Arabidopsis thaliana: one gene and its partners. The protein of the gene in region 2 interacts with the protein of the main gene of each other region in a pairwise test. Each region holds a gene or a part of one and is shown on either strand. Other genes may lie near its edges.

Evidence for each region.
Region 1: the proteins of SCY1 (region 2) and ALB3 interact in binary tests that used the Arabidopsis thaliana proteins (3 or more experiments, as listed by UniProt).
Region 3: the proteins of SCY1 (region 2) and SECE1 interact in binary tests that used the Arabidopsis thaliana proteins (3 or more experiments, as listed by UniProt).

Annotation. Positions count from the first base shown.
Region 1 is NC_003071.7:12,353,824-12,363,063, forward strand, and holds ALB3 (63 kDa inner membrane family protein), read right to left. Parts: upstream 5,746-9,240; 5' UTR 5,336-5,745; coding exon 4,961-5,335; intron 4,873-4,960; coding exon 4,762-4,872; intron 4,652-4,761; coding exon 4,577-4,651; intron 4,500-4,576; coding exon 4,439-4,499; intron 4,355-4,438; coding exon 4,281-4,354; intron 4,180-4,280; coding exon 4,075-4,179; intron 3,934-4,074; coding exon 3,826-3,933; intron 3,734-3,825; coding exon 3,630-3,733; coding exon of another isoform or gene 3,596-3,629; exon of another isoform or gene 3,322-3,595; coding exon 3,172-3,321; intron 3,072-3,171; coding exon 2,846-3,071; 3' UTR 2,498-2,845; downstream 1-2,497. Other genes in the region: AT2G28790 (Pathogenesis-related thaumatin superfamily protein), read right to left, coding at 841-1,665. UniProt on the Arabidopsis thaliana protein: Required for the insertion of some light harvesting chlorophyll-binding proteins (LHCP) into the chloroplast thylakoid membrane.
Region 2 is NC_003071.7:8,111,584-8,120,018, forward strand, and holds SCY1 (SECY homolog 1), read right to left. Parts: upstream 2,903-8,435; 5' UTR 2,870-2,902; coding exon 2,667-2,869; intron 2,457-2,666; coding exon 2,299-2,456; intron 2,217-2,298; coding exon 1,531-2,216; intron 1,450-1,530; coding exon 1,236-1,449; intron 1,149-1,235; coding exon 985-1,148; intron 879-984; coding exon 648-878; 3' UTR 501-647; downstream 1-500. Other genes in the region: TPS11 (trehalose phosphatase/synthase 11), read left to right, coding at 1-216; AT2G18720 (Translation elongation factor EF1A/initiation factor IF2gamma family protein), read right to left, coding at 3,337-3,906, 3,992-4,210, 4,296-4,523, 4,607-4,709, 4,786-4,954, 5,053-5,176; AT2G18721 (uncharacterized protein), read left to right, coding at 5,416-5,523; DGK3 (diacylglycerol kinase 3), read left to right, coding at 7,393-7,752, 8,073-8,195, 8,287-8,424. UniProt on the Arabidopsis thaliana protein: Involved in protein export. Probably interacts with other proteins to allow the translocation of proteins across the chloroplast thylakoid membranes. Required for normal greening during embryogenesis. Central subunit of the protein translocation channel SecYE.
Region 3 is NC_003075.7:8,513,439-8,520,451, forward strand, and holds SECE1 (secE/sec61-gamma protein transport protein), read left to right. Parts: upstream 1-3,661; 5' UTR 3,662-3,809; coding exon 3,810-4,343; 3' UTR 4,344-4,516; downstream 4,517-7,013. Other genes in the region: AT4G14840 (spindle assembly abnormal protein), read right to left, coding at 57-94; LOI1 (Pentatricopeptide repeat (PPR) superfamily protein), read left to right, coding at 509-2,097, 2,372-2,837; OFP11 (ovate family protein 11), read left to right, coding at 3,093-3,641; OASA1 (O-acetylserine (thiol) lyase (OAS-TL)), read right to left, coding at 4,771-4,863, 4,972-5,052, 5,140-5,199, 5,307-5,386, 5,516-5,567, 5,665-5,802, 5,894-6,157, 6,238-6,295 and 2 more. UniProt on the Arabidopsis thaliana protein: Involved in the import/insertion pathway in the thylakoids. The signal recognition particle is not involved in the insertion of SECE1 in the thylakoid membrane.

The DNA.
Region 1 (9,240 bases), 4.2 Mb from region 2:
CAAAATGGTCCAGAATAAATACTTTTGTTATCTCGCCAACAAAACTCTTAACAATTACTTTTGAGTTAATTAGTTTGGATTTTATCTCAGGATATCCAACTTTTGTAAAAGAAGTGTTAATACTTAAATTTCTCTCGCACACAAAAAAGAAATGAGAATCTTTCACGTGAAGATGCAGCTTTTTTCGTATTGAGTGTGTTTCATTCCATGCCTAAAGAAGTCTTGTGATATATGATTTACACCAATAATTTTTTCTTTATTGGATTTTTCTTTTCTCTGTAAGTTCAATATAGCCACTGTACAATTCAGATTTTTGTCTTTTTTTTTTTAATAAGTTTTTGTTAAGCGAAAAGTTAAATATATTTACTACCGATATACTACTTGATTAGTGGTTCACATTATACATTAAAAAATGTGGAAACTCGTGATATAAAATATCTTACCGACAAATACAAAATAAAAAGGTGTAAGAACAAAACACTGTCTAAGCCTGCAAGCCTCGAATAAAAACAATGTACCTTTTTTTTAATATCGAGTAAAAACCGTGAATATCAACTGAAAACAAATCATTCTTTCAAAATGGTTATTCTTGAACCAAAATTTTTTAAATTGTTACCATTCCAATTATAACTTCTCTATCAATGTTTAAGCATTACAGAATCGAAATAAAAAAAGAGAATTAAAGAGAGCAATTTCAAGATAATACATAATTTCATAGTTGGACTACATAACTGAACCGGGAAATCGCATACTAAACCAATCAAAATCAGACTAACCAAACAAAAGCATTAGAAGATCAGTCCGATGTTACGACAATAACCCTAGAACATGGCCGAAACATTAGTGGCAGAAGATGACTTTGAGCTCTCTAGGAGAAGCACAGTCATGCATAAGCGAAGGACTATCATGAGCAAAAGTGAAACTCGAAGGACACGCATGCTTAAAGAACAGCGAATGGCTCGAAGCTTTACACGTGTTAGGGCTATTGTAATGACCACGACAACACAGCTCGTCTGTATGGAAAGCCTCACACCCACTCTTACAAGCCACCACGTGTCCACTGTGTGACCGGACCTGAAGATGAGCCGGACACGTTTTTATTAGATCTTCACGACAACCAACGACAGGACAGACACCATGGCCTTCGTGAGGAGTCACGGTCATCGGAACATTGTAACCGTCAACGAGAGAGACACCGTAAGAGGAGAAGTCGTGGTGACCACCGTGGTGGAGGTCGAACTGAGCTAGAGAAGCTGGTGGTGCCCCGCCGAGACCGTTGCATTCCAGGCGGTTTCCGCAGTCTCCGGTGAGGCAGGAGAATTTTCCGTTGTAGTGGGCACACCAGGTTCTGGCCCAGATGCGACCGGACCAGTGTGTGGTTGGAACGTTGAAGGAGCGGTGAGTGAAAGTTGGGAGAGCGAAGCCACCTTTCTCTAGGACGGGGTGGCCGGCGTTGGGTTGAATGGCTGGCCAGACAGTGAAGGGACAGTTGTTGACGACGGTGAGGAAGAGACGGGAAGTGTCTACGGCGGAGGAGAAGGAGATGAGGAGGAGGAAGGAGGCGGCGAGAGGAAGAGAGGTTTTAGCCATTGTGTAGCTTTTGGTGTGAAAGGTGTGCCAATGCGACGTGTGTGTATATAAGCTAAAGTATTTTTCGATATGCATACATTTTTTGGAGTGACGAAAATACCCTTTGGATGTTTTGGGTGGTTAGGCAATGAATTTAGCATGTGGGTTTAAGGAGGCGAAGGGCTTTAATGTCAGTTTAAAAGAGATGAATATTGGATTCTATTTCTATGAGTCAAAAGCTTGAAAGCTCTTTAAAGAATAAAATGATGGCATGTGGTTTGTGACTAACGAAGCTTTGTTTCCTTCATTGGTAAACTAATCCTAATGTGTGTTTTTGGTAAATAGCACTATTTCGGATGGTTGAAAAATAACATATTCTGAAAATATTAGGCAGATATATTAATTTTTAGCTGTTTCCAACAGTTTTGCTTTTCTAGGATAGTAAGCATTCACATATGTAATGTTTACAAGTTACAATGAGTAAACCATAATGCAAACATTTTAGATGGACCGATTGATTTATGTGTTCTAAACTTCTAAACCTATTGAAATGTACACTCTATTACATGCTATGTGACTCATGATTGTAACAACATGACAACTTTCTCTGAATATTAGTGTAATGTGGCTACACTGACAAGTTATATTCGTTCAGATTAGTAACAGGGTTCTTTGACAAACACATCAAAACGACAAACACCAAACGACAACACGACAAAACAAGATGTCTTTTGTCTACTTGTACAACTTCGAGAATTTGAAAATCGTGTAACCATATCTTGGGCCTCAGCCCAATCCAAATCGTAATATTTTTACCTCTCTCTATTTTATCCATGCCAATCCAAAGAACAATGCTTCTTTGTCAGGAAGTAATTGTTGTTTATTCATGGGGAATCGTTGTCTCGTTTATTGCACAAATTACTATACTACTTGATTCACATTTACCATTTTTATAAGCTGACAAAGCTAATAAAAGCACCAAACAAATAGATTGCAAGTTTACAACAACGAAATGCTAACAAAACTGAAGCGGGCATGTTGAAAAGTCATAATAGTACACACATTTACGTTAATACATTTATAATAAGATGAATCACATAAACAATTTACTTTGATCAACTACTGCTTTTAACTTTAGAATGACCTTTTTGTGCCCTAATATTAGATAATTACCGGACATGGTGTATGCAAATATATATCAAAAGATCAAACTAAGGAACAAGATTCAAATCTCTCTCTTTTCTCTTCCTTACTTGCAATTTCGTTTGCTTTGGTTCTATACAGTGCGTTTCCGCTTCGATCTTTTGCTTCTTCGTTGGCCAACCTCAGGAAGCGGCTTGCTTGTTGTGCTCGAAGCTAACGCTCCTTCACGAGCCTCTTCTTCCTCATCATCAGACCCTTCTTCTGATTCAGACTGAGATTCTTCTACCAATTCAACTGTATCTTTCGCAACCGCCTTGTTCTTCTTGCTGCGCTTCTCTTGCTCTTTTAATTGTCTAAATCTGTTGTGATCCAATATACATTTATCAGAAATAACAAACTTGTAAGAAAAACGCTTCGTATTGAGAGATATAATCTCCACTAGACTCGGGATTCACTTACCTTTCGCCAGCATCGTCAGGCTGAGCAATAGATCTCTTTGCTCGTCCCGCACTTATTATTTTGCTTGCGTTTTCATCCATATTTGGCTTTGCACCACCTAGTTTACGCAGATATACTTGTTGGGCGGTACTAAGTACATTATTTGTGAGCCTAAAACCATAGGATGGTTTAACATAAGCAGTAGCATAATAAAAAGGGAAAAAATAAAACTCAGATCCTACCAATAAACACAGTCATATACAATAATATTGATGTTACAAAATGTAGTCACACTAGATGATTCCTTATCAAACAAGCTTCGTATTCCTCGAAATTCTAACCCGTCTTACGTACATTTTGAGAATGAAGCCATCTAGGTTAATTACTAGAGAAAATCTTTCTTATACTCCATTTAATGAGTAGATCAAGGGCATGGATAAAACAGTTAGATGAGAAGTTTCAAGGAGAGGGAAACCAACCAGTAAATAGATAGTCCTGATGGGACAGACAATGCAAAGTAACCGATCATGAGTGGAAGAAACTTGAAAACAAGAAGCGTATTCTTCTGTGCAGGATCATCAGTCTGACAAAAGAAATTAAATTCGGTTTCAGAACAATCATATCAAATTGTTTAAGTAACAGGAAAAATAAAAGAAACTTGTGTTTATTTCTCACTTGAGGAGGCTTCATAATTTCCATTGACACATACTGGGAGGCAATAAGTAGAACAGGTAGAACAAGATAAGCTACAGTGTCATACCATCCCAATGGTGGATGCCCGTCCTGCACCACCGAACGATATTAGACACCAATTTGATAAAGGTTCATTGCACAGCAAAAGACTCAGTTGTATGAAATTTTTTAGTATAAAGATAAGTATCAAATGAGAAAACGTATTCACATAAAGTTTTTTTCTTCCATTACCACAAACGGAAAAAGCCACGAAATGCCGGATCCACTCTGCCGAGCAGCTATAGATGTTGGTCCACCCAGAGATGGAATCCAAAAGAAACCTTCTGTAAACAATCCCTACAAAAAAAAAGTTTTTAGAACAATTAGTAGTTGAAAGAGACAAACTTATCCGGTCTCTAGCGAAATCAGTAGTTGAAAGAGACATAAGGTATATGTACCTCGTTGGCCACGTTAGAGAGAGCTTGGTATAAACCAATCCAAACTGGTATGGTTGCTAAAGTTGGTAAGCAACCTAACATAAAAAAAACAATAATGTGCATATGTCACCACAATTCAGGAAGGGAATACAAAACTCGTAACTTCTAAAAGAAAGTACCTGCCAACGGATTAACACCAGCTTGTTTATACAATCGCGATGTCTCTAGTTGTATCCTCTCCTATATATCCAAAAACAGAACAAACAAATCAGACTCGTCATCCACAAGTAACTCATTCTCTATCCAAAGAAACTCACCTGATTTCCTGCGTAACGTTGTTGAATCGCTTTGATTTTCGGTTGAAGATTTTGCATCGCTAGTGTTGATTCAACCTAAAGGATTCCAAAACAAAAGCAATGCTCAAAAATTCTCAACCAACATGCCAAAATTGAATCAAAGTGACAAGAGGAGCTGCAAAATTCAACTAATCACACTCACTAACCTGTTGCTTAGTCAAAGGATACGTCGCTGCTTTGACGATAATCGTAAGCAAGATAATCGCAAATCCATAAGCATAAGGTACATGAACCGCTGATAATCCATCCTTCAAAATCTAAAAATCCAAACCAAAAAACTTAAGCTACAAATACAATTTCCAGAATTCTACACACAGAGATCGAAATTAGCAGCTTAAAACTCACCTTAAGAACCAATTCCATAGCATCGGAGATAAAACCAAACCAACCACCACTCTTCTGCACGGCGGATGAATCAGTAGTTACGACGGAATCAGCACCAACAACGGCGGCGTCAGCTATTGTATAGAGAAGAGATTCAGCTCTGGTGAAAATCGCTCCGATGTCTACAGATGAATCCAAGCCATGGAAAGGAGGAATCTCGTTTAAGCTGAATCGTACGGTGGTTGAAGTAGTGAAGAGTTTGTTATTATTACTCCGGTATGGAAGAAATTGAGCGGTTCCTCCTCCTCCTACTCCACTGTGACGGAGAGATGACGACGGTTTAATCAACGGTGAACCGAAGAATGAAGATGGAGACGAGACTAGAACTCTCGCCATTGGAGCTTGAGAGGAGGATGAGAAGAGACGAAGAAGAAGATAGAGATTTTTATTTTTTTATTTTGTAAATTTTTTTCTGGATTTATCTTTTTTTGAAAATAAATTGGAAAATGAAAATGAGAGACGAAGCTGGTGATCGCGCGTGGTGGAGATTACATCCAGTCATAGGAGTCCACGTGGACATGTATCTAACGTGGGATATATCGGTGCTTTTTGTAGTTTGGGCTTATTAGGGCCCATTTTAGAAACAGGCCTGCTTAACTTAATAGGCTTAATTACCAATCCATCAATCTCCAAGCTCAATGCATGGATCACTTCCCCAACACAAAATAAAACTGAAAGCATACAAAATAGAAACCGATTTAGAAAATACTTTATGTAAATACTTTTCTATAAAAATCAAATCTCGAATGCTTTGTGAATGTATGGTAAGCTTTTCCACAAAATATATATAATTGTGAAGAAAAAGCTGCGTACTCTCTTTCAATTAGTTGACATCGAATCTGATTCTCACACCACCACCTTTCTTACTTTTATTTCTTGTCATTATCACTTTCTTTCCACGTTTTATATTATGTAGTTTTTATAAACAAAAAAACAAATGAACTAATCTGAAACATTTATCGAGAACCTATACACAACCCTAAAAAGGTAAGCTTGAGTCATAGGACTTAACTTCCCAAAGCCATAATCCGGTTCCCAAATCTTCATAACTTACGAAATAGTAAGTGATTACAAGGCCTTTAAAGATTAATCCCACAAAGAAAATGTATTTAACACTAGAGCTTGATCGATGTCTATAATGAGTTCAGCCTAAATAATGGTCGTAAATAATGCTCTCTAACGTAAGATAGTTATAAATTACGCTTTGAGTCCCAAGTCTAGTGGAAAAAACAAATGGGATAGAATTTTCATGCTTTTAGGGAATTAAATGTGACCGCAAATGGGACTAAGTAAAATCTTTTGGATAATGATCTCTAGTGTTGTATAGATTTTAGGATCCTAATCTCTCAGTTAATAAGCAAAAAGAACAAGGTTTAAATGTTCATAGAGGGATTCGTTCCTTAATCTCTAGCTCAGATCGATAGCTTCAAAACCTATAATCAATAATCTCTCAATAATTTTTTACCAAAAAAAACAAACCTATAATCACCGGCTCGCTCTAAGTGCACACCCATACGTTTATGTGATGTAATATTCAACAAAACATAGCTAACGTTATGAGTTTTTTTAAGCATCATACTGAATTAAATATCTTCCACATTGTTTTCAAGAATCATCCACCGTTCCTCAATTATATTTCACACGTCACGATCATATATAGACCTATACCAAATACTATATATAGAAATTAAATTTAAAGTTGTTTTGAAAATAATTATATTTGTTATTATTATTTTTCGTTGTGAAATAATTATTTATTTCATAATTTGTTTTTTAACATAAATTTTTGATAGAAATGATGATGTTGTAAGTTTGACAAAAAAAATAAAAAAAATGATGATGTTGTATTTTTTTCTTAATTTTATATGACAACGAACGATTAAGAGTTCGTATTTATTGTTTTATAACATAACGACGTCGACACAGAACTTTCAAGGCTAAACTCACTTTTTGATGGAGACGTAAGAATAATTTATGGGTAATAACTCATTAATTTGTTACTAAATAGAAATTATTTCTCTAAAATGCTTTTCAATTCATATACAAAGGATACATAGGAAAATTATAAAAAGTAATATTTGTATGTACGGACCATCAGAATAATAACGTAATATTTTTTAATCAGGTTGCATATTACCTCGGGCTTCCATTGATTAATGGGTGCATAAGTAATTAAGTAAATTCATATGCAAAGTTAAGAGTGGTACAAATTATAACCGCATATGCGTTCTTTAAAAAAGTAATTATGAAAATTTGTTCGGCAGATGAAGCAAATGATTAGTACACCTATGCCAAATCTTAAAAAATTAGAATGGAAAGCGATATATGAAATTGAACGTAGTCATATTGAATTCGTAATCGAGACTTTCACTATTGTTTTTAAGAATGTTTGGACGAGAAAGAAGCTCATAAAGCAATAAATTAGTTAACGTTCATAATTGAAGCATTGACACCAGGAGAGAAAAAAAGAGCAATTCATTGCTTCCCTAGTAAAAAAAAAAAAAAAAAAAAAAAAAAAAAAAAAAAAAATCAGATATTTGTGGATAAAGAGTTAAAAGAAATTGTTTCGTCATTTTTTTCTGTCATAATTTCGTCAACTTTTTGTTTAACAATATGCATTATATAAATTTTATTAATAATAGTAACACATAGACACGATTGTAGCATAAACCACTAAAATACATGGTTTCAGTGTATCTAAGCTTTTGACATGTAGAAGTTCTACGTTTTTCATGATAAATTCGAAAAATTATTGAGAAATGATATATGGTCAAAATGAAGAAAAAAAGAGAGAAGATAACAACAAAATGGAGAAGGACAAGAGCACAAAAGAGATGAGTGGGATTATGAAAAGGTTTGCTGATGATTTCATGCATGATCAACTAACGTTAAAGATTATTTGTTTTTAGGGTAATAATACAACATATACGCCATTTTAGGCAATCTCTTTCTGAAAAAGATGTTCGCATTTATATACGAAACGACTGATTATTAAAGATATATACTACATACAACAAAATCGTTAGGGAAAAGTAAAAGAGAAGATAAAATGTAGAGACAATTTGAAAGATCTCTTCTTTGTTCTTCTTTTGAAAATAAAAATAAAAGTAGACATAAAATAGAAGTTGTAAATGACAGGTTTCATCTTTTTCATGCTTTTTTTTCCCTTTCTTTACGTCGTTTGATACCGAGTAAAGTTATTTTCATACTAAGATTCAGTCATTATTCTTGTTAGAGTTATTGTTCTTATATATTGAAATATTAATATCAATAGGAAACGAGATTAGTATCATAGTTTTTTAATGATGACGTAGAACATTTATATTTCATTGAATAGTTAATAGTAGACAATCAATGGTTGTTTTATTGTGAATTTGGTTCACCCCTTTCATTTGTTTTATTGCAAGATTACAAGCTTATATATGTTTGCAATCAACAAGATAATTAATATATTCAAAAAAGATTCATATAAGAGATAAAACCATCGCCATGAAGATATCTAATGAACGAAGACGAAAACGACAGATCAGGGACAAGCCTACTCTTGAGTCTTGACCCACAAAGATACCCTAATTAAGCTTTCATGATTACGGATCTATATGATAATGAACCCTATTAAGCAAAGTTAATTTATACTTAGCCATCAACGTACATATATATTTCCAATAATAAATGCAAATAAAAATGATAATTATGACAAATTAACCAAAAGTTAAGTTAGCAATGGACCTTGGCGTTTTAAATATTGGCATGGTTAGCAAATAGCATACAAATATATGAAATGATAGCCTGAAAATCTAGTAATATTATTTTTATTTTAGTTTATAAGGCTCATCCATTACTTTTTATAAAAATGCCTTTATTCTGTTTACTGAAAAAAAAATCTTTTAACATAGTTTTGTCAATTTAAAATTCTGACTGACACAAAAATGTAAGTGTAACCAAAACAGAAAAGTGCGATATAATATTAAAAATATATAGTTACTGATAAAAAGTCATACTATTTAGTTCAGCATTTTACAATTTCAAAATAACAAGATTCCCAACATAAAAATTGCTGAACCAGAAAGCACGACTATAGCTAGATCTAATGACTAGAATGACCAAAGATATGATTTTCATTTGTGAGAAAAAAAGAAAGAAAGAAAGAGTTAAATTTGTTTGATTGCACAACTTTTTCGAAAGTCCCTCTTATCACTAAACCAATTCTGAAATGTTCACAAACTTGTTTTACTTAATGG
Region 2 (8,435 bases):
CAAGATGTTTCCTCTATTGGTCTCGAAGAGGTCTTTGCGTGCACAGTTGGTCAGAAACCGAGCAAGGCCAAGTACTATCTCGATGATACCCCAAGTGTTATCAAGATGCTTGAATGGTTGGCCTCAGCTTCAGATGGATCAAAGCATGAGCAACAGAAGAAACAGAGCAAGTTCACTTTTCAACAGCCTATGGGACAATGTCGAAAGAAAGCATAGATCTTTGAAAGGGTTTGCGTTAGATTTTATGTTGTTGTGATATTAAAAGATTATAGGATTTGAAGGTTTTAGGTTACCTGAAAGGTTTCTAGGTTTGCTATATATGCCTTTTGTACAGAGTATCTTGAACTGGTCAATTCGGTTACTTTGCCCCCATGTGAGATGCTTATACATAGAAAAGGAAATAGATATAATATGATGAATTCATTTCAATTTTGTTTTCTTGTCGAAGAGAGCTCTTCTTCTGATTGAAAATTGGGAAAGACAATTTGTTCTGATGAATTATATACTAGGTTTCACTTTCCTTTGGCAAGCTCATGACAAAAGTGCATTATATACTAATCAAAGTTTAAAACATTTGTTACAATCTATGACAAGAGAACACAGTAACTTGGTTTGATGGGTATTATATGTAAAACAGAAGGTCCAGTTCATGGATCATACTTGTCAAGCTCGTAAAACTCAATGTTCTTGTACTTTTGCGAGATTATCTCTGCTTGAACCTTTCTTGCAGTATCTGTCGCACACCCGACAAGGATCAGAACAGAAGTGCCTGCAAATCCTCTGAATGCTGTCAAGTGAGTGATCTGTTCGACTACAGCAGGACCAGCAGCTAGAACAGCCAGAAATGCAGAACCAAGAACCGATATCCGGCCAAGGACCTGATATTGCAATCAGAGCGAGACATTTTCAGATAGTTGTTAGATGATAAACCAAAATGGGAAGTTTGTAAAAATTGATCAAGGAGAGAGGGAGAAAAGATCTTACGGTTTTGATGAAGAGAGCAGTGCTTTTACCAGGTCGGACTAGAGGGATTGATGCACCTTGGCGTTTTAATTGTTCACTCACGTCGTCCGGGTCAAGTTGCAAGAAAGTGTAGTAGTAGTTGAAGAAAGCTATGAGAAGTATATTGGTTGGAAGATAGAAAGAACCTGCAATAGTTTGTTTGTGAAGTCATCAACAAAAAACAGTTTCAAAGGACCCAATCTTCTTACTTGCTGTGTATTAGGAGAACTTACCTCCAGGGGTTAAAGCAAAAGCAACATTCTTCAAAGCAGATATGCCGGTAAATCGTGCTAAAGTAGCAGGAAGAGCAAGAGATGATGTGGAGAATATGATAGGCATTACTCCCGCACTATTGACCTTGAATGGAAGATAAGCAGATTTCTGAAGCCCACCAGCTTTGCTGGTGTATCGCGAGGCATAATTGAGCGGAATTTTCCTCTCTGCTTCCTGAAAAACTTTGCTTGTTAGACTATATAAGCATACCAAACTTCTTAGATTCATTAAAAGGAACAAAATTTGGTATAGTACCTGAACATATACTATCCCGAGTACCAAGAGGAGAAATGAAACAACGATGGTTCCAAGACCAGTATAGTTTCCTTCCTGTAAGGCCTCTGCTGTTGTTCTACCGAATGATGCAGGCAAGTAAGAGATGATACTTGTGAAAATCAATAGGGAAGTGCCATTTCCAAGTTTCAGATCAGAGATTCTCTCTCCAATATATGTAGTGAGAACAGAACCAAGCGTTAACAACGTAACAGAAGAAACAACCCATTCCGTGCTGAAGTCATTAACGTAAGGACGAAGGTAAAACACTTGTCCGATTGCTTGTACTATCGCAAAACCAACTGAAGCATATCTAGTATACTGAAGAATCTTTTTTCTACCAGCTTCACCTTCTTTTTTCTGAAGATCTTGCAACTTTGGATAGACTTGAGCAAGAAGCTGAAACACAATCTGAGCGTTGATGAAAGGAACAATCCCGAGAGAACATATACCAAGTCTACCTATGCCTCCACCAGAAAATGTATCCAAAGTGCTCAAAATGCTATTCTGATCCAAATTTCCAACAAAAGCTTCTCGATTAACCCCGCCGAGTGGTATGTAAATTCCAAGCCGAGAGAGAGCTAAAAACCCAAGAAGCTTCAGAAACTTCCCTGGCAATGGCCCTTTGAAGAAATCTCCAAAATCAATGGAACTGTCCTCAATAGCAGCTGAAGTTTTCAAAGAGTAAAGCAACCATCATCAATCATGCTAAAACATACAATAAGCAAATGTAGATAAGCCAAAACGAACCTGCCACGCCTCTACCAGAAGACGGCTTATCTCGCCTGTTACCGGAAGAGCTTTCAAATGATGGTGACAAAAGACTCACAAAGCTTTCCCAAATGCTACTTAAACCAGAAGTTTCATCTGGATTGATCCCCAACGGATCAAAAACCGAAGCCTCAGAGCTGAAACATCAACTCCAATCAACAAACAATGCAGCAGTAAGTGACAAAACATCAGCATTTCTACGAACTAGTGATGAAATAACCCTCAAATCTCCACAATTCAAGAGAAATTCACATGAAAAGTTTCGAACTTTAAGTCGCAATATCTATAACAAGATCATTATCTTCGATTTCAAATGGAACCCATCTGAAATCTGAAAGAAGAAGTACCTTCTAGAGTTGATAACAAGACCGAGATTCCATGATTTGGCTTTACAAGTGTTCCTCCTGGTCTTTGTCGAAACAGAGAAGAAGCTTCCTTTGTAAAGAGAAGAGCTTCGCAATCTCGAAGATGATTTGTGATTGAGACGAGACAGAGACGCGAAGTTTGAAGAAGAAGAAGAGTAAGAGGAAACTTCGCTTACCGTTATCATCCTTATCCTTCTTCTCCTTCTCCACAACAACGACGATTTCTTCTTTTCCTTTTCACTTTTTTTTTTTTTCTTACGGAATCCAGCTAATGGGCCAGGCCTTTTAGGCCCAATACATCTTTTGCACATTATTAATCTTTGTTGTTTTGGGCGTTAGGAATGAGACCATGACTTCAAGTCTTTCTTTCTGTTTCTTCAAGACTTCAAGTTTCAAGTTTCAACAATCACAAATTATATCTTTCTCTCAAATGAACTATGTAGGATAATTAGTTAATTAAGCTGTAACATCCATAGACTATAAAACTTTTAATAACAAATCAAGATGATGCAATTGATCAAACTCTAGTTAGACTTCACACAAAAAGCATAAGCACATAGAAGTTTAGTTATCTCCTTTGGTGACAGATTAGGAATACTCTGAAGATATAATGAGACTACAAGTTTGGTATATGTGAATGCATCAAATATAATCATGCCAAAGAAGGAGGAGAAGGGATAAAAATGGTGGTTCCAGCCTCAATCTGACCGCGACCGATCAAACGCCAATGCCTATCCACACGGCGACTTATAGCCACTTTCTCTCCAATGCTGGTGCACACAGGGAGTGTCAGATTAACTTTCACCATATCTTTCTTTACTCCAATAACCATAGCTCCCGTAGACATCGATCCGATATTCAACATCAGTATCTCTCCCTTGACTAGCTTTGACACTCTCATTTGCCTCTCTGTTTCCTTTGTCTTCACTCCAATGAGACGTGTCAGAAGCTGGAAACTCACTTCAAGTTCAACATAGACATCAGGGAGAGTACCTATTTCACCAAGGACTTGACCAACTAACCTATCACCACGCGTAAGCGTAGGATCCATGCTTGTCCCAATTCCAATCAAACCTCCCGGGACAGCAAACTGAAGCTCGTTCTGTTCCGCGTACAATGAAGTTATACGCGTGTAAATGGGAGTGCATTTAGTGTCTCCATTCTCATCTTTTCTAGTGATTCCAGGTCTTATCTCTATTATATGCCCCACCTTCAAAACACCCTGCAAACAAAGCAAAGAGAGACATAAGTTACATTGATTCAACCGCGATTTATCCTAGTTTTTCGGGGTATTGAGTATGTTTTACCTGAAGGATACTCCCACCTGCAACTCCACCTTTCATACCATCATAATCAGAGCCAGGTTTATTGACATCAAAAGAACGAATCACAATCATTCTTGGAGGTGACACAAAATCCCTCACAGGGAGTGGAATCTTCTTGACAATGTACTCACACAAAACATCGATGTTGTATTTCAGTTGCGCTGAGACAGGAACTATAGGAGCACCTTCCGCATTCGTGTTCTGTAATAACAAGTTTAAAACTTAACCAACTAATCAAGAAGTGAAAAATGCAAAAAAAAAACAGAATGGGAAAATTGAATCAAACCGTTATAAATCTCTGGATGTCCTCGTGCTGTTTAATAGCCTCGTTTTCTTGGATGAGATCAATCTTGTTCTGAATGATTATGATATCTTTAAGATGCATCATATCAACAGAAGCAAGATGTTCAGCTGTTTGTGGTTGTGGACATGTCTCATTCGCAGCAATGATTAGTAAAGCACCATCCATAATCGCTGCTCCATTCAGCATTGTCGCCATTAGGATATCGTGTCCCTAATCAACACACAAAACACCTCATTAACATATAGAAAATGGTTACAAAAGATTTAGAAATAGTGTTAAAACTCATTTTATACCGGGCAATCAACAAATGAGACATGTCTTAGTAGTTTCATCTTGTACTTCTCATGTCCAGAGACATCACAACTTGGGTTGTCTTCTTTGCCACTCCCGAAAGACCTATAATTAACACATATCATAAGTTGCTACGTACACTACGTAACCTTATTGTAGCAAAAGAAGAGCAAGAATTCACTTGTAGGCTACTGGTCTAGGGCATTTTTCACATTTGTAAATCTTTGCGTTTGCGTAACCAAGTTTAATGGTAATGTTACGCTCCAATTCACTCTTGAATTTGACAGTGTGCACACCGGAAACGGCTTTCACGATTGTCGATTTCCCGTGAGCGACATGGCCAATGGTTCCTGAGATATAGAGAGCATAGTCATATCTTTAGCTTTCAATGCACGGCTGATCAGTTTCTTCAGCATCAAAACTCAATGAAACAAAAACTTGTGTATACCTATGTTAATGGTGGCTTGACGAGAGATGACCTCAGGAGAGAGAGGATGCAGCTGAGCTACATCAAGTTTACTTAGATCTTGTTCAGCTAAGCCCTTGTTCTTCGACATTACGACAGATTTCATCTTAAACACTCTGTTGCAATCAATCAAAGTTCACAACTTTAGAACAACGTTGATCAGAGCCAATACAATAACACTAGAAGTTTCGAAAGGCTGTTCAGAAACTAGGGTTTTTATGCAAGATGGATGGGTTCCGTTCACAATAGTTACGATTCGATTAAATTCAATTAGGGTTGCTAATCTATTTCACTGAAGTTCTTATAAAAATGATTTACACAAACCTGAAGTACGGTAAGAGGTAGATGAAGAAGTTTGCTCGCAGAGATTTCAGAGGAGAAAGCGTGCCGTTGAAGGTTTGTGTTTTTGGTTTTGATAAAGTCAGGTGGCGTGTAAGGTATATTTATAGGTAGGGTTTTATCTTAACGTTTACTGTTTGTCTTTTTCGCCAACTTCATTTTTCCATGTGTCAATAAAACATGTCTTACAATTTTTATTTTATAATTGTCGGTTTCTTACCCGAAATGTTTTTTTATAGGAAAATTTGTGTTAGGTAATTTTGCAATTTCATTTACAAAATATAGCACGCTCCTTTTGAGATGGGCTAAAATCGTTCCAAAGTTTGGGCTTACACGCCTAACCATTGGCCCACTCCAGTTTACTTCTATCTTTCACCAAACTAAGAAACATTGATCCTTGAACAAAAAGTAGTATATGTTTATATGATGACAAAAAAAAAAGAGTAGGAAATCTATGATTCTATAGGAGTGTAAATGAATAAGCTGTGATAAATTTAGGTTATTTTTCTTAACGATATATATTGTTAGATCAAATTTTATAGTTACATCATTTGGAGTATAATGTAAATATGTTCCGCTTTATAATAATGTAAATATGATTTGTAATACTAATGAGAACACACGCTCATTGTCTTCCAGTTCAAGAAATATCTTAAACCCCACTTTTTATCAGCCACCTGAATTTGAGTCTTCCTCTGCCACATAATAAATTGTTTACATGGACCAATTCTTGGTTACAAAACATCTGATATCATATCGTGCAATTAAGAAGGTATTAAATGATGTTTTTTTCTGTGGCATTTGTATATACTTTCAAGTTTCGACCAATTCTATAAGTTAAGAAAAAGGCATTGAGGGAAATTTAGGTTAGAAAAAGTACACAACGATCCCAGCAATGGGAAGTAGCTATCACTTTCAGTGACCCTATTTCTCTGAGTGGGCAATAACATTGTAGGCCCCATTCTGTGGAAAATCCACTAACTTCAATGTCTGCTCTCATTTTCTATTGTCTCCTTCGCTGTTTTTTTACAATTTACGTTACCACCAAAACTATTCCTTTGTTTAATGACGAAAACGCCACTCTTTCTAAGCAAAATGTCAGAGAATTTTGTTTCTTTGTTGGAGAGTTGAAAATATTTTTTACATAGAAAAAGAAACCAATAATGCAGTCAAATAATAATAGGAAGCAAATAATAATGCAAGTATCTCTAATTCTCTATATCAAATTGTATTCAATCATATTCACCAGATGTAACCTCTATAATGGAACCTTTTTGAATATTAAAATATCATTAGATCCTATTCTTACAATGTATCAATCAATTACTAATTAATTTTCTCTGGTTTTCTTGATATAACAATAACGTTAAAAAATCTCATTGTTAATCTCTTTATGCCATCATTAGTATTGTAAGATTTTGTACACTTTAAATTGTAAATTTGATCTTACAGAAACAAAAGATCTACAAATCTTAGTTACAGAAGATAATGGTATTAAACTATACAAATCTTAGTAGTTTAATATTATTAATAATCAAAATTATTCTAAATTAGAACTTTTACAAAATAAACATTTATCAGTCGCTTTCATAAATGTCAAACAATAAAAAAAGAAAAAGAATCAAAGATCTAAAGAGTGGCATTTTTATGACGTCACATTGAAATCCAACCGTGTAAATTCTTTTTTTTTCAATATAAGCAAATTAATTCACACGTTTTGTGCGCTGTCTTCGAAACTAAATCATTTATAAAAAAGACAAAACAGACAAGAAAATACAAACTGTCAAAAGAAGATTTTATATTGGTTGATTTGAAATCTCTCAGCAAAGAAGAAGAAGAAAGATTAAAAAAAAACAATCCTTTATTATTTTTCATTTCAACTCCAATTTTGATTATCTGGGTTTCGAATATTCCTCATTTTCTCCAATCACAGGACGAAAAGTAATCATCTTTTTGTCTTTTCTTCTCCGGCGAGAGACTACAATGGACTCTCCGGTATCAAAAACCGATGCATCGAAAGAGAAATTCGTGGCTTCACGACCATCAACGGCTGATTCAAAGACGATGAGAGGTTGTGGACTCGCGAATCTGGCATGGGTTGGTGTAGATAAAGTAGAGCTTCGTCAGAGGTTGATGATGCCTGAGTATCTTCGTCTCGCTATGCGTGACTGTATCAAACGCAAAGATTCCTCGGCTATTCCTGATCATTTACTTCTTCCTGGTGGTGCTGTTGCTGATATGGCTCCTCATGCTCCTATGGTTGTTTTCATTAACCCCAATTCTGGTGGTCGTCATGGTCCTGTTCTTAAAGAGAGGCTTCAACAGTTGATGAGCGAGGAACAGGTTTTGCTCTCACTGAACTTGTATTTCAAATCTTTTTCTTTGGGTTTTTGGGGGAATTTCGAATCTAATTTGTATCTACTTTGTGTTTTGATTATGTTAGTTTGGAAACTTTCTTAAAGTCTCTGGCTTTTAAGTTTTTAATGCTTGATTTATATGTTTATGCTTAGCTGATGTTAGATCTAGTGTTTTGTTGGAACTTTGAAGGATGAGTTACGTTTAAAGATTGAGTCTTTTGGAAAGCTGAGTGATGTTGATGTTGTCAAGTTATTGGTTTGAGCTTTTGATATTGAAACTTCATGGTGACTTTTGTGTTGATACAGGTGTTTGACCTCACGGAAGTGAAGCCGCATGAGTTTGTTCGATACGGGTTGGGGTGTTTGGAGAAAGTGGCAGCGGAAGGAGATGAATGTGCAAAAGAATGCAGAGCAAGGTTGAGGATTATGGTGAGTGTATTGACCATATTTTTCTCCAATCTCTATAGATCCACTTGAATGTTTTTAGCAATCAGAATTGTGAATGGAATTGGTTGGATAGGTTGCAGGAGGTGATGGTACTGTTGGTTGGGTTCTTGGATGTCTTGGAGAGCTTAATAAAGATGGAAAGTCGCAAATTCCTCCTGTTGGAGTTATTCCTCTCGGTACAGGGAATGATCTTTCAAGGAGTTTTGGTTGGGTGAGTTGTGT
Region 3 (7,013 bases), on a different chromosome or scaffold from region 2:
GAGAAACCTATACAGAAGTGTAAACATATTGATAGTTCTTAATGAATTGAATTTACCCAGGAGAATTTTGACCTATCTCTTGATCCATATCCATCGAAGCAGACCAAAAACCCTAATTCCTGCGATAGATAAACACCCAAATAAACAAAGCAAAGGATGAATTCTAATCTATAACAATGTTAAGGGAACAAACCCACACAAATTAAAAGTTAAGTTGATTAGAAATTTCTCCAGAATGCAGATAAAGATACGAACTTTGGAGAGTCAAGAACAGAGTAGCCGATCTTATGCTTCAACTACAACAGATTACAAATTTATCAAACTCATTCGTTTCTTATATATCCTCTTTTCGATCAGATTAGTCCTACAAACAGAGGTGGAATAACAGTTATACCCTTTTAGTTTGTTTTTGTTTACACAGATGAAGATTGAAATTACGATTATACCGTTCAATGTTTCTTCTTCACCGACTTGAAAGCTATGACCTTTCCGATCACCGGCGTTAGTTATGAGCCTCCTCTCCGCGGACGCACTTGGGTTACTTCTCAAGAATGCAATCTCCGCGAGTTCCATGCGTTTGGGTCGCGTCGTTCACGCAAGAATCGTCAAAACCCTCGATTCACCACCACCTCCGTTTCTCGCGAACTATCTCATCAACATGTACTCAAAACTCGACCATCCGGAATCAGCCCGACTCGTTCTCCGACTCACTCCTGCACGAAACGTCGTCTCTTGGACTTCACTTATCTCCGGACTTGCTCAGAACGGTCATTTCTCCACCGCTTTGGTTGAATTCTTCGAGATGCGACGAGAAGGTGTTGTTCCAAATGACTTCACTTTCCCTTGTGCTTTTAAAGCTGTGGCTTCTCTGCGTTTACCCGTTACTGGGAAGCAGATTCATGCGCTTGCTGTGAAGTGTGGTAGGATACTTGATGTGTTTGTTGGGTGTAGTGCTTTTGATATGTATTGCAAAACTAGGCTTAGAGATGATGCACGGAAGTTGTTCGATGAAATTCCTGAGAGGAACCTTGAAACTTGGAATGCTTTTATATCTAACTCTGTGACTGATGGAAGGCCTAGGGAAGCTATTGAAGCGTTTATTGAGTTTAGAAGGATTGATGGGCACCCGAATTCGATAACTTTTTGTGCTTTCCTTAATGCTTGTTCGGATTGGTTACACTTGAATCTAGGAATGCAGTTACACGGGCTTGTGTTACGAAGTGGGTTTGATACAGACGTCTCTGTTTGCAATGGGTTGATTGATTTCTATGGAAAGTGTAAGCAGATACGTAGCAGTGAGATTATCTTTACTGAAATGGGAACTAAAAATGCTGTTTCTTGGTGTTCATTGGTTGCTGCATATGTGCAGAATCATGAGGATGAGAAGGCGTCTGTATTATATTTACGCTCAAGGAAGGATATTGTTGAGACCTCTGATTTTATGATATCAAGTGTTCTGAGTGCGTGTGCTGGTATGGCTGGTCTTGAGTTGGGAAGATCGATACATGCTCACGCTGTGAAGGCGTGTGTTGAAAGGACTATATTTGTTGGAAGTGCCCTCGTTGACATGTATGGAAAATGTGGATGTATAGAAGATTCAGAACAAGCGTTTGATGAGATGCCTGAGAAGAACTTAGTGACTCGGAATTCATTGATCGGAGGATATGCTCATCAGGGTCAGGTTGATATGGCATTGGCTTTATTTGAAGAAATGGCACCACGTGGATGTGGTCCAACTCCAAATTATATGACTTTTGTGTCCTTGCTTTCCGCTTGTAGTAGAGCAGGGGCTGTGGAAAATGGTATGAAGATATTTGATTCGATGAGGAGTACTTATGGCATTGAGCCAGGGGCTGAGCATTATTCATGCATCGTGGACATGCTAGGGCGAGCGGGAATGGTAGAACGGGCTTATGAATTCATAAAGAAAATGCCAATTCAACCGACAATTTCGGTTTGGGGTGCTCTTCAGAATGCTTGTAGGATGCATGGTAAGCCACAGCTGGGATTACTAGCAGCTGAGAACCTTTTCAAACTCGACCCTAAGGATTCAGGCAACCACGTTCTGCTTTCCAATACGTTTGCAGCGGCTGGGAGGTAAATGAACCGCATTGATTCTATTCAATTTTTATTCATCTTGTTAGGTTGAAATCATATTCTAATCAATTCAAAAGAAGCCACACGATGCTTTGTAAACAAGAGCCACCCAAATGTTTAGAAGAAAGACTACAAAACTAGGAGTATCTGAGCATTATCTGAATCGAGTTTTAAATAGATGAAACTTGTGTTAAACATGAAGCAGGGGAGACCAACCATTTATTTTGTCTTCAGTTACTTATGATCTAACTATATTATAACTAATCAATGATAGGTGGGCGGAAGCCAACACCGTAAGAGAGGAGCTGAAAGGCGTAGGGATCAAGAAAGGAGCCGGATACAGTTGGATCACAGTGAAGAACCAAGTCCATGCCTTTCAAGCCAAGGACAGATCCCACATACTGAACAAAGAAATTCAAACAACGCTGGCCAAGCTAAGGAACGAAATGGAAGCTGCAGGGTACAAACCCGACCTGAAACTCTCGCTTTACGATCTGGAGGAAGAAGAAAAAGCAGCAGAAGTCTCGCACCACAGTGAGAAACTGGCTCTAGCATTTGGATTGTTATCTTTACCACTCAGTGTCCCAATCAGAATCACCAAGAACCTTAGAATCTGCGGAGATTGCCACAGCTTCTTCAAGTTTGTCTCTGGGAGTGTTAAACGAGAGATCATTGTGAGAGACAATAACCGGTTTCATCGGTTTAAAGATGGGATATGTTCTTGTAAGGATTATTGGTAATCTTTATTAGTTTAGGCTTAACATTTATTTATATCTTTGTACTATAAACTTAGTCGATTATGATCAAAATCTTCTAATTTCAAGACTTGGTAAAATCCGCGTTATAAAAACATATAAAAAAATTGGATCCAGCTACATTATGGACATTGCATTCACTACGTGACCTCCTCTTAAGTCTTAATACACGTATTTTTGCATGTATAAATAAGCATTGCCTCCTTAATTACATTTGATTAAAAACTAAACAAACCAAAAATGTCTAATTTTCTAAGGAAGAAGCTACACCTCTGTTTCTCCTCTTCCGGTGGTCTCTCACCGTCGATTCCTTCCTCTCCGATCATCGTATCAAATCACAACGCTCAATCTCATCCTCATCACACTCCCTCAATCTTCATCAACAACTTCAACTCTCTTTACGATCAGCTCTCTGTTTCTTCTCCCCTCCACCGCCGTCACAGTTCCGAGAACCCCGCCGGGGTGTTCTCCACTAACCGCCGCGAAGAAGAAGAAGAAGACGAAACCACCACCTCCGTTTCGAAGCTTTTAAGCGGCGGGACGGCGATAATGAAGCACATAGAGTCACCGGATCCGTACAGAGATTTCGGAAGATCGATGAGAGAGATGGTGGAAGCTAGAGATTTAACGAGAGACGTCGTCGCCGATAGAGAATACTTGCACGAACTGTTATTCTGTTATCTCTATTTGAATCCGAAACATACTCACAGATTCATCGTCTCTGCTTTCGCCGATACGCTCCTCTGGTTACTTTCTCCGTCGCCGTCGCCAGAGCATTTTTTATCCTAAATTTAAATTTTTTCAAATAAATATTTGGGCTTTATAAGGCCCATAATAATTGTAGCAACTCTTACTATACTCATTGCTGTATCTGATCATTTACTTCAGTCTTCAGATATCTGAATTATCCACAAATCTAAAATTGAGAAAACTTAAAAAAGTTCCCAATTTCGAAAAATGTCACTAACCGCACAATTCTCGCCGCCGGTCACCGGAATAACCAGGAGTCTCCGGGATACAAAACCGTCACTGTCTAATCTCCGTGTATTTCCGGTTTACACTGAGATAAGAACTATGACGACGAGTAATCTGAGGAAATCGGCGTGTTTTGTGGCTAAGGCTATAGAACAGAGACGAGATACAGCTGGATCTGAATCGGAATCAGAAGCGACTCCGTCACCGGCGGAAGAGAGTGGAAGCGGAGAAGATAAGGAAGTGGAGATTAGCGCGATAGGAGCAGAGATAAAAGCAGCGATGGAGCAGAGGAAAACGGCGGAGGAAGAGAAAGGGAAGAACGAGTTTCTTAGTGGAGTTGCGGAGGAAGTGAAGGAGATTGAGTGGCCGGCGTTTCAGAAAGTTCTCGGAACTACCGGCGTCGTGCTCGGTGTTATCGCTGGCTCTAGCGTCGTCTTGCTCACTGTCAATTTCCTTTTGGCTGAACTCTCTGATCGAGTGTTCATCGGAAGAGGTGTTCAAGACTTCTTCAGCTGATCCTGTGAATTGAAAATGGTAAAATTTGTGTGTACAATTTTTAGTGATTGCAATGAGAAATCGAAACATTGTTGATTTGTGTAGATGATGATAAAGAGAATTATCGGAATCACTCCTTTTGAGCATTACCTTCTTCTTATCCTAATCTTATATTTAGCCTGAAATATTGACTTGGGTTATGTTGGTTTAGTTTTGATCATGAAACAGTATGATACTTATGAACAAAGTTACATAGCAAATTTAAACTTCATTAACAAGCAAGTGGTTCACAAAAGAAACAGAGAAAATCTAGTTTGACTTTTATTGGCACACAAGAGAAGATACAGATGGAAGCAAAGACGCAATGTAACTAAAGATGAAGAGTCTCTATAGGAGAAACTGAACATCTCTTTTATTTTGGCGTCTCTTAAGAAGAAATGGAGAATGTTCAAGCCTCGAAGGTCATGGCTTCCGCTTCTTTCCTTGTCGCATCGAAAAGTACCGTTGATAGATACCTCTCCCCGAAACTCGGGAATATCGCCTGTAAAATAATTCAGTTGATTTCGTTTACATCAGAATCAGAAAGAAATCCGGGTTATGTAATCAGAGCTTATTGGCTTTGGGGTGATGATAGAATCAAAGAGCTTACCACAAATAGCTTCCCAGCGTTTTCTGGCCTCTGTGCAAGTTTAATTGCTGCAGCAGCTGCTGCACCGGATGATATTCCCACCTACAGTATAGCTTTTGTTTTTAGAAACAGAACGAAGTTGTAATTCTGATGGAGATAGCTTTTTGTTGTGAAATGTGAAACACTTACAAGAAGACCTTCTTTAAGAGCAAGCTGCCTTGCCATGTCAATGGATTCATCACTTGAAACCTGTTGAAAGCGTTACAGGAAAATGGAGAGAGTCAAGTAAGAAATGAAGCTCTCTTGCATTCAATTGTGTTTTGCTATCAGTCGATAATATCGAAAAGCAGTCTTACCTGAACAACTTCGTCAATAAGATCAACATTCAATACACTTGGTATAAAACCAGCTCCTATCCCTTGAATCTTGTGAGGACCTTGATATTTTCAGCAAACATCATGTGTTAGGAAACTCCGAGGATAAAAAATAAGACATGAGGCAAACCGAGAAACGAGGAACATGCATGCATGGTTATCGTAATAAACGCAGGGGGAACCAAAATCACCTGGCTTCCCACCGGATAGAATAGCACTTTCAACTGGCTCCACTCCATACAGCTAACAGAAGAGGAAACAAAATGAGAAACCGTGCAAAGACACACCACTTAGTCACTTAGATAACAAAGCCAGTTGTTCGAAAAGATGGAGCTCTCACCTTGACGTTTGCGTTCTGTTCTTTAAGATACTTCCCAGCACCTGTAATGGTACCACCAGTACCAATCCCAGAAACAAAGCCATCGATTTTGCCACCAGTGCCTTTCCATATCTCAGGTCCCGTAGTCTCATAGTGGATCTGCATTTGACAGTGAAATTCCATCGACTTAATATGGTTCAAAAACAGACAAAAACAGATACACTAAAGCAATAGTAAATAATAAGCATACCTTAGGGTTGGCAGGGTTCTCAAACTGCTGAAGCATGTAACCATTGGGTGTTTTCGCCAAAATCTCTTCCGCCTTTGCGATAGCTCCTTTCATGCCCTTAGCTGGGTCAGTTAAAACCAACTCAACTCCAAAAGCTAAGAGAATGATTCTTCTCTCAGTACTCATAGAAGCTGGCATTGTAATAATAAGCTTGTAGCCTTTGGCAGCTGCCGTGAATGCTAACCCAACTCCAGTGTTTCCACTTGTTGGCTCAATCAGCACACTCTAAAGAACAAACAAAAAGTCAGAAACAATGAAAACAAAAACAAAATAGTGGTTTGAAGATTCAGATAATCGAAACTGACCTCTCCTGGTTTGATAAGACCCTTCTTTTCTGCATCAGAAATCATGCTAAAACCAATCCTGCAGAAATAAACAAAGTACAAGGTCTTCACAAAACCGAAACTCGAAGCGAGAAACAACACATAGTTTCTGGACTAGAGAAGAAACCTGTCTTTGACGCTAGAGCACGGTTCCATCATCTCAAGCTTAGCAGCAACACGACCAACACATCCTTCAGCAACATTGTTCAAATACACCAATGGAGTGTTCCCAATCAACTGCCAAATAGAATCAATCAATACATGAACATGGAACAAAGCTCACTCCTTCGTGAAATGAACAGTGAAAGAACTTGAAAGCCTTACTTCAGTCACATCTTTAGCAATTCTCGAGGCCATGATTCAAGCTTCACTGCTTAAATTCACAAAAAGAGAAAAGTAAGACCAAAGGAATAAATCATCCTCAAACCAAAAACACATCATACAAAATCATCAAACATAAATCTCCAGATGTATGAGCACCAATCCAGTTATACAACACTCTTAACACCAAATCAACAGATTTAACAGCGAAATAAGCTTAAGCCCATACAATTATCCGATCCAAACAAATATAATCGAAACCGGCAGAGGAATAAGCAAGTGAATCAAAAAGTATGGGACGAGGAAGAAGATGATACCTGAATGAGAAAGTCAATAACCTTGACCCGAATCGTTTTGAAGAAAATGGAGAAAATCGGTTGTATGGAATAAAATCTTCGAATGATGAGATATATGATCTCTTTGGTGTCAGTCACATG